Rattus norvegicus: one gene and its partner. The protein of the gene in region 2 interacts with the protein of the main gene of each other region in a pairwise test. Links are inferred from orthologs where the notes say so. Each region holds a gene or a part of one and is shown on either strand. Other genes may lie near its edges.

The links.
Region 1: the proteins of Snw1 (region 2) and Bicd2 interact in binary tests that used the Homo sapiens proteins (3 or more experiments, as listed by UniProt). The link is inferred for Rattus norvegicus from reciprocal best matches to the Homo sapiens genes SNW1 and BICD2.

The regions. Positions count from the first base shown.
Region 1 is NC_086035.1:15,475,674-15,481,579, forward strand, and holds part of Bicd2 (protein bicaudal D homolog 2), read right to left. Parts: intron 3,824-5,906; coding exon 3,671-3,823; intron 1-3,670. UniProt on the Homo sapiens protein: Acts as an adapter protein linking the dynein motor complex to various cargos and converts dynein from a non-processive to a highly processive motor in the presence of dynactin.
Region 2 is NC_086024.1:112,842,427-112,848,332, forward strand, and holds part of Snw1 (SNW domain-containing protein 1), read right to left. Parts: exon of another isoform or gene 4,803-5,906; coding exon 4,649-4,802; intron 1,189-4,648; coding exon 1,027-1,188; intron 1-1,026. UniProt on the Homo sapiens protein: Involved in pre-mRNA splicing as component of the spliceosome. As a component of the minor spliceosome, involved in the splicing of U12-type introns in pre-mRNAs.

The sequences.
Region 1 (5,906 bases), on a different chromosome or scaffold from region 2:
ATCTCTATTAAATGTGTGTGCATGAAGTATGTGTGCATGAAGTATGTGTGCATGAAGTATGTGTGCATGAAGTATGTGTGCATGAAGTATGTGTGCATGATGTATGTGTGCCTGATGTATGTGTGCATGATGTATGTGTGCATGAACTATGTGTGCCTGTTGTATGTGTGCATGATGTATGTGTGCATGAAGTATGTGTGCAAGAAGTATGTGTGCATGAAGTATGTGTGCATGAAGTATGTGTGCATGATGTATGTGTGCATGAAGTATGTGTTCATGATGTATGTGTACATGATGTATGTGTGCATGATGTATGTGTGCATGATGTATGTGTGCATGAAGTATGTGTGCATGATGTATGTGTGCATGAAGTATGTGTGCATGATGTATGTATGCATGATGTATGTGTGCATGAAGTATGTGTGCATGATGTATGTGTGCATGATGTATGTGTGCAGGTACCCACATAACTGTGTGTAGGTGGAGGCTCTCTCCTTCCACTTTACGTATATGAGCTATGGGAACTGAGCTCAGGTCACTCGGCTCGCACTGCAAACGCCTTTCTTTACCCACTGAGCCACTTCACCAGACATAACCAGATATCTTTTTTTTTTTTTTTTTGTTCTTTTTTTCGGAGCTGGGAACCAAACCCAGGGCCTTGCACTTCCTAGGCAAGCGCTCTACCACTGAGCTAAATCCCCAACCCATAACTAGATATCTTAAGGCACATAAAATATATCTTTCCTGTGCGCTATCACCACTATTTTGAGTCATATTTCAAAACAAGTAAACTGGACTTGCCCTTCGGGCTGAATGCCTCAGCACAATGCAGGCTTGGGAGACTTGCAAGGTGACATGTCTTGTTAATGTGACACAACTTAGGAGTGGATGAAGGAGGAGTAAATGGAGAGTTGGTGCTTAACATGAGGCTCGGGGTTTGTGGGCAGACAGTAAACATCTTACTCTAACAGTAAGGAAGCAATGAATGACTCTCTCCAGGTTTGGGGTGGGAAGGAAAACTTGATACAATATCATAAGTGTGCCCACATTCCAGTGCCTCAAATAGGGGTGAGGAATCTCAGCCTGGGAATGGCACCACTGTGAGGGTGGTCTCCTTGAGGGTCAGTTTTCTTCTCCTCAGGGCAATGTGGGCAGAAGCGCCAATCAATGCCCAATGGCACCTCATGCTTATGAGCTACAGGATGGAACTGTGAGTCCTGCTCCTGTGGTTTTCCAGTACCAGGATCCATCCCTTGACTGCTGTGCAAACATGAAAACTTTTACACAGACACGCATGGGCTTCCTCATGCATGGGTGGGATAAATACTGGGTCCCTGAAGGCGAGGCCTCAGCAGGAAGATGATGGAGTACTAGAGGGTTCTAACAAAAGCATCCATGGCACTTGAGGGTAGAGTCGGAACTTCCTGACAAGGAAGAAGTTCCCTGCTACCTGCAGACCTTAGGGTGTCTCTGAGCATGGGGCACATGTCCAGGTGCTGTGTGGTTCTTAGCCTTACCCATCCAGAAGGACTCCCTAACCCCTGCCACAGGCAGAGGGGACACCCTCCATCCCTACAACAGGCAGAGTCATGCAGTATTTCAGGCTTCATGGTAAGTCTCTGGGGGTTTTAGTTCACCCTGTTCATCTACCTGAGTTTCCCCCATACCTTAGTGATGTGGAACACTGAACTCCAGGCATGACATGGCCCTTGCTGTCTCGAAATCAGAGCAGCCATGATTACCCAGCTCGGAGACCCTCACAAGACCACGCCTACATATGTGCTCTCATAGAAGGAAGGGTAAAGTGCATTAGACCCTCACCCAAGATTCCAGCCATTCCCCCTTCCTGTATCCTCCCCCCAATCTTGCCCAAGGATCTCAGAGGCTGCTAGAGTAGACAGGAAACAGAAGGTTAAATGAAGAGAGAACTCCATCTAGCGACTGTTAGAGGTCATCACCCGTGACAAGATGGAAGTGTTCTTAGTGATGTAGTAACCCCTCACCCATGCCCCTGTAACCCCTCACCCATGCCCCTGTAACCCCTCACCCATGCCCCTGTAACCCCTCACCCATGCCCCTGTAACCCCTCACCCATGCCCCTGTAACCCCTCACCCATGCCCCTGTAACCCCTCACCCATGCCCCAGTAACCCCTCACCCATGCCCCTGTAACCCCTCACCCATGCCCCTGTAACCCCTCACCCATGCCCCAGTAACCCCTCACCCATGCCCCTGTAACCCCTCACCCATGCCCCAGTAACCCCTCACCCATGCCCCTGTAACCCCTCACCCATGCCCCTGTAACCCCTCACCCATGCCCCTGTAACCCCTCACCCATGCCCCTGTAACCCCTCACCCATGCCCCTGTAACCCCTCACCCATGCCCCTGTAACCCCTCACCCATGCCCCAGTAACCCCTCACCCATGCCCCTGTAACCCCTCACCCATGCCCCTGTAACCCCTCACCCATGCCCCAGTAACCCCTCACCCATGCCCCTGTAACCCCTCACCCATGCCCCTGTAACCCCTCACCCATGCCCCTGTAACCCCTCACCCATGCCCCTGTAACCCCTCACCCATGCCCCAGTAACCCCTCACCCATGCCCCTGTAACCCCTCACCCATGCCCCTGTAACCCCTCACCCATGCCCCAGTAACCCCTCACCCATGCCCCTGTAACCCCTCACCCATGCCCCTGTAACCCCTCACCCATGCCCCAGTAACCCCTCACCCATGCCCCTGTAACCCCTCACCCATGCCCCTGTAACCCCTCACCCATGCCCCAGTAACCCCTCACCCATGCCCCTGTAACCCCTCACCCATGCCCCTGTAACCCCTCACCCATGCCCCTGTAACCCCTCACCCATGCCCCTGTAACCCCTCACCCATGCCCCAGTAACCCCTCACCCATGCCCCTGTAACCCCTCACCCATGCCCCAGTAACCCCTCACCCATGCCCCTGTAACCCCTCACCCATGCCCCTGTAACCCCTCACCCATGCCCCAGTAACCCCTCACCCATGCCCCTGTAACCCCTCACCCATGCTCCTGTAACCCCTCACCCATGCCCCAGTAACCCCTCACCTATGCCCCTGTAACCCCTCACCCATGCCCCTGTAACCCCTCACCCATGCTCCTGTAACCCCTCACCCATGCTTCTGTAACCCCTCACCTATGCCCCTGTAGACCCTCGCCTATACCCCTGTAACCCCTTGCCTATGCCCCTGTAAACCCTCACCTGCCCCTGTAACCCCTCACCTATGCCCCTGTAACCCCTCACCTATGCCCCTATAACTCCTCACCTATGCCTCTGTGAGTAACCCTTCACCCATATTCCTATGATTTATCCTCAGTCATGCTCCTGTAAGTAAGCTCAATATTTTCACTGGTTCCCCAAGGTAGCTTTTCTGGTATGCCATCAGTACCCTATCTTTGCTGAGCAGAAACAGATTCCCCAGGAAGGCTACACTTGGCCTGGGAAATTGTCATACTAAAGTCACAGGCCTTGTTTCATGCTCTTGCAGTGCTAGGGGCTGTGTGTTTTATTCCCCTGTCTCCACTGTGGAACTACCACTGGTCCTGGCCTCAGATATGTGGACCGAGGTAGAGAAGGGGAAGGTGGGTGGATGAAAGGACTTAGATGCCTAGAGATAACCCTACTCTCGAGACTCGCCTGGTTCTGCCTGAGCACAGACACTTGTTTCTGCAGGCTAATGTTCTCCTCCTCCAGCTCAGAGTAGTCCTGAAGTAGACGGGCCTCCCGGAACTTGTACTCCTTGATGTCATCTCGCAGGCGACCACGCTGAATCTCCACATTCTGGTTGATCTGCAGGGCAGAGAAAAGAGCTGTGTGGGTTACTTCTATAGCTGGCTACCAATTGTATTTCCAAGTATCCCAGAGGGCTCAGCACAGCCTGGTACGCTGGGAGCCCTTTGGGCTACAATGTGGCTGCGTGGAGGAGAGAAGCCCAGGGCCATGGGGTCTGTGCAGAGCAGCAGACAATCCTCAGTCAGATCTCTTCTACTTCTCTTAGCTGCGGGACTTGAGGCAAATGACCCGACCTGCTCTAACCCTGCTGAGCTCACAGGCTTCAGGTGCTCACCCAGCTGAAGCAGTAAGGGAGAATGGGGAGACAGGGAGATGGGTTACAGTATACAGCTGAACAAGGAGGAGGGTTTAGCTAATCTAGGTAGGAGCAATCTGTGAGGGGAGCAGTCTTCAGGCCACACACATCAGGCAGAGACATTCTCTGCACATGGTCAGCAGTCACATTTGGACTAAAGGAAGACACTGCCATCCCTCTAAGCCTCACTAGGAAGGCTTTGCCATTCTCCTGGACCTGAGCAAGGCACTGGTGTCCCTAACACAGCCATGCCCACATCAAACATCAAACAATACACTTCACTCAGGACTTTGCTCACGCCCTTACTCTGACCCCTTTGATCTATCTGCAAGATGGGGCCATCTGAGTGGTAAACTGGTAAGTGGGGCAATACTGGGGCTCGTTTGCCTATGTTTACACCAGAGAATAAAGCACACCCACACAGAACCTTGCACATCAGTGTTCCCAGTGTTCCTGGTGGACACGGCCCAAGTATCCATTGGCAAAGGAATGGATAAACAAAACATGGTCTGTGAAAGCCACATTACGGAATGACGTCTTGACACTTGCTACAACACGAATGAGCGCAAAGACATTCTGCTAAGTCAAAGAAGCAGCAAAGAGCTGTGCACTGTATGATTGCATCTATAAGAAAGACCAGGGGTTGGGGATTTAGCTCAGTGGTAGAGCACTTGCCTAGCAAGCGCAGGGCCTTGGGTTCGGTCCCCAGCTCTGAAAGAAAAAAAAAGAAAGAAAGAAAGAAAGAGAGAAAGAAAGAAAGAAAGACAGACAGACAGACAGACCGACCGACCAGGGGGTTGGGGATTTAGCTCAGTGGTAGAGCGCTTGCCTAGGAAGCGCAAGGCCCTGAGTTCGGTCCCCAGCTCTGAAAAAAAGAACCAAAAAAAAAAAAAAAAAGAAAGACCAGAACAGGAAAGTAGACTAGTGGGGCTAAAGAGGGGTTTGAGAGTAACTGCCAAACAGGCCTCATTCTGGAATGATGAAATACTCTAAGGCAGGGAGGGTGTATCAGCGGAGAGGGCTTGACCGGCACTGAATACAAGGCCCTGGGTTCAATCCTCAGCACCGCAAAAGATAAACAACCATAGAATGGTGCACACACCTATGACTATGGAGATGCTGAGGGGACAGAGCTAGGGAGGGCAGAGCAGTGAGACTGGGCTCGTTGCTCTGGGTTCTGGAGCAGGCATGCTGTTGGTCTGGGGAGGCCATGGAACATCAGGAACAGGGATGAGAAGCAAGACTGAAGTGCATTTTTAAGTGTGTTGGATGGGATGGTTACCCTCTCAATAAAGCTGCTGAGGGCTGGTTTCTGCCTCCAAGTCCTGTGTAAGGAGTTGGGAAGACTGTCACAGAGAGAGGCTAGTTCAGGGCCAAAAGGCTCACAACAAACCAGACTGTGGGAACTCTCACCCTGTCCTGCCTGCACTGAACGCAGGACCCAGGAGCCTCAGCCCTACACATTCAGAGCCACATCATCCTCCACTGTCACTGCTGTCCTAAATGTCGTAGGTTCAGCCAATTCCTGACCTCTGCTCGCTGGCTGCAGACCCTTCTCACACTGTGACAAGTGAAGATGTTTTCACACACCACCAACGCTCCCTAAAGTAAAATCCCCTAAAGAACCCCCAAATCCTCCCTGCTCCTAATGACTGGATGGCCTCCCCAGACACACCTGCCCAGGCCCACAGCTCTGTCCTCACTAGCACTGTCCCCTCAGCATCTACAGGAATTGCTCTGACCACATTTGTGTGTTCATCTGAAGGCCACAGGCCTCTTAAGATG
Region 2 (5,906 bases):
CTCTCTCCTATCAAGGGTGAGAGGAAAGAGAACACAGCTAGGCCTTCAAAACAGTTCCTCAGCTGAGTACAGCCCTCTGCGATGAGACTAAGTGTTATGTTGTGTCTTTGGATTACTCTTTAAAGATGGGTGACAAGGGCAGTCTGTGTTACATCCAAATGAACTATTCAAATAAGAACTGGGGATGTAGCTCAGTGGTGGAGCCTAGGCTTGGCATAAGACAAAATCCTGGGTTGGATCGCCAGTACCACCCAGAAAAAGTAAAGAAAGCAAGCACCCGTGTAAGCTTTCCTCAAGTACATGGAGGGAACTTTGTCTACAGACAAAAGTAAAAGCTGATTTGGGGCCAGGGGCACAGTTCAGGTGCAGAACAATTGCCTAGCATACTTGAGGCCCTGGGTTTCATCTCTAACAAGACCAAAAACAAAACTAATTTTTTTTTAAGAGTCTACCAATTACTGCCTTTTAGAGTTTGGCAGCACTTCTGAAATACCATATAACTTTTTGGAATACAAAACAAAAACCTAAGTACAAAAGTTGTCACTGTTGGGTGTGGTCTACAGCACAGCATGGGGAGGGTAAAGGAAGGAGTGTCTGAGCTCAAGGCCAGCCTGGGCTATATGCTGAGACTCTGTTTTAAAGGGGAGAGCAGTGAGCACCAAGCTTTGATTACCAAGCTTCGCAGAACTGCAGGTACAGTTTCAAAGGTCTATTTATTTTATTGTATGTGTATGAATGTTTTGCCTGCACATATGTATGTGTATCATGTGCATGCCTAGTTCCACTGGAGGTCAGAAGAAGGCATCAGATCCCCTGGAACTGGAGTTACGTGTGAGTGCTGGGAATTGAACTCAGATCCTTTGCAAGAACAAGTGTTTGTAACCACTGAACCATGTCTCCAGCCCCAACTCCACTGTTACTTTTACATAATCCACAACGGCAAGTGGTTTATCATTTTCACAAGATGTAACACACATCACAAATATTTATCAATAAGAAAACCAAACAAAACCAATGAGAGATTACCTTGTCTTTGGACTGTCCCTGTCGAGCAATTGCATCATATTTAATTTTCCCTTCAGGATCCACCTGAATGGCCAGTGCATTCGACATTTTTTTCTTTCGCCCCATATCCAGAGGATACTGGGCCACATGGATTTCTGGGAAAGCGCCTCCATCTCCAAAATCCTGTGTATTTCAAGAAAAGAAGTACAAAGACTGTTTAGTAGAGTAGCAATTCATTCAAGCTAGCAAATCTATGCTTGCTATGAGTGACAGCAGTAAACAAAAGCAAGTCTCCATCTTGAACAGGCTATGTTTAGTGAGAAAAGGTATAAAAACAGACTGAGTGTAAGGAGCACCATGCGGATCACGCAGGTCCTGGGAAGAGGCACCGTCTTACTTCCAGGGGAGCAGCTGTGGGGCCTTTAAAGAAATAAAACACAAAAGCAGGGTTTGGGGATTTAGCTCAGTGGTAGAGCGCTTGCCTAGGAAGCGCAAGGCCCTGGGTTCGGTCCCCAGCTCCGAAAAAAAGAACCAAAAAAAAAAAAAAAAACCACAAAAGCAAAGGAGAAAGATCCAAGCTGTGGTGGAAGAGACAGTGTGTGTGAATGCTCGGCCCACAGGGAATGACACGATTAGGAGACGTGGCCTTGTTGAAGTACATCACTGTGAGGACAGACTTTGCTGTCCCTTACATGTTCAGGCAATATCCAGTGTGGCACGCAGTCTCCTGCTGCTGCCTTTGGAACAAGATGTAGAACTCCCAGGTCTTTCTCCAGCACCATGTCTGCCTGGACACTGCCATACTTCCCACCATAATGGACTGAACCTCTGAAACCATAAGCCAGCCCCAATTAAATGTTTTCCTTTATAAGAGTGGCCTTGATCCCAGTGTCTTTTCACAGCAACAAAACCCAAACCCAGACATAAGGGAAGCATTTTCTTTTTCTTTTTTTGTAAGCTAGAGGGAAAGAGAGAGAGAGAGAGAGAGAGGGAGAGAGAGAGAGAGAGAGAGAGAGAGAGTGAGTGTGTGTGTATGAGTGTGTGCATGCATGCATGCGTGCATGCGTGCTGGGACTGAAGGCATACACCACCATGTCTGGCTCCCTAATAGTTTTAAATCAACACAGTCTTTGTTGATTTACATAGACTTTGTTGATTTAAAACTAAAAAACCAAAACAAAACCAAACCAAAACAAAAAACCCCCAAAACTCTGAAGTTTGAACAACTTTAGGTCCTAAATAGATTATTTATATAATCTATTATACTCAATTCCCATTACCAAGAATGTTAGAAAAAGTGAAATTCATCAACAAGAGGATATTTACTGAAAAATAAACTCGTTTTTATAAGTTTTTTTTTTTTTTTTTTTTTCCGGGGCTGGGGACCGAACTCGTTTTTATAAGTTTTTAAAACAGAATATTTTGTTAAATCTTGGATGTGAATTTCTAGCCACAATATGCTTATTTACTGGATACGGTTGAGGTTTTTGAAAACGAACGAATCAAGTGAAAAAGCTATATTCTTGTAAATTAGGCAGAAATAAAGCCTTCCTAAGAAAAGTGCCTTCCTGTACTCAGACCATCAATCTGACACATGCTCAGAGTCACTGAGCTCTTCGACTGTAATCAGCACTTCACAACTGTAGCTGTAGCATTATGTGGTCGTTAACCCTGCCAGAAAAATCACAGCTTTTACTGTGAAAACTACAACAAAATGCCTTCTTCAGAGGACAGCCACTCCCCGCAAAGCACCCTGGCATTTTCAGATTAGCTGGCCACTCAAGTTTGATTTCCAAATGAACTGCTCTGATCCACCAGCATATATAAAACTTTGATAATCAATTAAGACTAGAAAAGCTAACAGCCACCAGATGTCAGAAAGCTCAAAAGCTTTTGTATGAAAAATGAAGCCTGCGGTCCCCACTCTTTAATCCAGGGAACCCCCCCCAACCCCCATGCCCCATCTATAACCTCTTGGAAAGGACACTAAGTACAATTATATAATGCCTGCCATCACTACCTTTTGGCTGCAGACAGGAATAGCTTATCTAGGAGGCTGGAATGCCTTCCTATCTTGTCATGTACCTCACTAATTCCAGACGGAATAAAACCAAAATCCCTAACAACATCAAGACAGGTTTCACAGTACAAAACCCAACAAAACCCTAGGCTATGTTACAGCAAGGCAGGGTGGGCCTTGTTAGGTGCTCAGTTTCTTGACCTGACAGAGTGGACAGAGGCAGCGAACGAGGAAGAGACAGTGCAGAAGGCTTTAGGCAAGACGCTGAGCAATGTTTCTATTCAAAGATACTAGCAGCACACCTGGAGGCAGACTGAAAACAGGCAGAGACCTTATGTATGAGGCAGACGTCATAACCAGGTAAGAAAGCGCTACACATGACTGGAGAGTTGGCTCGGTGTTTAAGAGCACCGGCTGCTCTTTGTGGAGAACTCAAATTGGTTCCTAGGACCCACTTTTAACACCCACTGCAAGGCCCGATTCTGATCTCCAAGGGCCCTGCATGAATGTGGTACACAGATGTATATGCAGGCAAAACACCCAGACATGTAAAATAACTTAATCTCTTTAATCTCTCATGCTGATCTTTATTTTTCGAGACAGTTTCCCTGTATAACCCTGGCTGACCTCAAACTCACAATCTACTTGCTTCTGCCTCCTGGGTGCTTGGACTATAGGAATGCACCACCATATCCAGGCAAAGGGAAGATCATTTAATACAAACATAATATATAAAAGTCTATTAGCTGCTGAGCTATCTCTTCAGCCCAGATAGGTTAAGTCTCAGATGTTTACTTTTCTCTCCAGGTAAGGAAGATGGGCAAATATGTGAAATGCTCACAGGATTCTGTGTAATCAGGAAAATATGGGTTGCTAAGGAAATTACTTCTTTGGAGACAAATCGGAGGTACAGAAAGATCTTTGCTCCACCAAATCAACCAAAGCTTAGCTTTCATTTCCTAAAAATGTATGTGTGTAACATCATGACAGGTATGTGCTAACATTCGCAAACTGGAGATTTAAAAAGCACTGACAAGAGACACTACCGGGGCTTCCCTGGAGAAGGCATCTCTTCGGAGTTGTGACATGGCATTATTTTCATCACTGACGGTGGGATAGGATGAACACAACTCAAATGCAAACCCACTCTGATTCTTCTCCTTACAAAGAGTTCAGATTTTTATTTTATTATTACTAGTGTATGTGTGACAGAGAAAGAGAGGGAGGGGAGGTAGAGAGAGAAAAAGCACATGCCCACGCCACAGTGCTTGTAAGAAAAAAGTTTTGGGAACACATTCTCTTTTCACTATGGAATCAAATTCAAAATGTCAGGTTTGTGCAGCAAACGGGCCACCTGCCCGCTCGTGTATTTGTATTGCCCTTTCCCATTATTGCTCATGTGCTGTAAGGCTTACACTTGTAAAGGTAAGCTGGCTCCTGTACACGTTGAGTAGTTCAGCACAACAAGAATGAGAAGAGTGATCACTGACCATGACAGTAAGAAGAAAGTCGTTGCAAGGAAGAACACACTTTCTCAAAGGAGCACTGCATGGCTGTAACCACCACCCTCCAGGGTTCAAACTGACCTTCCAAGTGTACAGTAGTACACTTCAGCCCAGTTACCTCTAAGAGTCTTGGAATCCAGCCTTTCCTGTATCCGTATGGGGGAGGCTCCCTTCGAGAGGAGACCAGGGAGGTCTGTCGTGATCTCTGAGATCTTGCCCTTTCTTCAGCTTCAAGTTGGTCCTGAGATAGCTGGGTAGGCGCAGGTAAAAAGCTACAGGAAATCAAAGTCGGAATTTAATTATCACGATTCAGCTATGATATTCCTTTGCTTAGCATATAGACTTTTCAATGATTTATAGAGTCATTCAATCATTACATCCTTATGGGTGGAAGGGTAAAAAACCCCTTGACTATGGCAAGGACAAATGCTTGTCTAGACTTAAAAACAGAGCTTTTTTTTTTTTTTTTTTTTTTTTTTTAAACAAAGCTGATAAGCTGCAGGTTTCTGTCTTCCTATACTTTATACAGAAGCCAACCTCCAGCACATGGTTTCCTAAGAATCCTTCCTAATTTTTGTTTAACAAGGTCTAATGAGGTAGCCCAAACTGCTCTTCAACTTGCTACCCTCTAGACTCACCCTCTAGACTTCTGAGATTATAGAGGAATTTAACACTATGCTACTGTGCTTTCCTATTGTTTTGTGTCTGTCTTTCCTTCCATTTTTTTCCCTCTGGAGACAGGGCCTCATTGTATAGATCCAGGTGCTTCCCCAGTTCTGGGATTAAAGCTCTCTAGCGGGGTTGGGGATTTAGCTCAGTGGTAGAGCACTTGCCTAGCAATCTCAAGGCCCTGGGTTCGGTCCCCAGCTCCGGAAGAAAAAAAAGAAAAAAAAAGCTCTCTAGTCCCTCTATCTTTCTGCATTATGATTAACTAATCATTTACCAGACTGAGCAACCTGAGAGTAGGAACTGCATCTTGTGCTTCTTTTGTCCCTAACTGTCCCAGCACCCTGTCTGGTAACAGGAGTTGCTCCAATATTTCCAAGAGTTTCACTCTGCCCTTTGCAGTCATGGTTTTGCAACACAGCAGTCTTCCTGCCTTTACTTAAACAAGCCATCTCAAAACCTTTGCCAAAAAATATTAAAGATTTACCAGGAATGTTCTTAAACTTACTTATTAAGGGTCTCACTGTGTAGCCCAGGCTGACCTCAAACGTTTCCCACACACCAAGCAAACAAGTGATACTCCAGCAGACTGCAGCTAGGCACTTCCTAATTCAGTTCAGTCCCCAGAGACTGAGGACTCAATACCACTGGAGTGCCTCTACTTCCAATGACAATTGGAGACTTGGCCACCAGGACTTTGGTTCCACAGA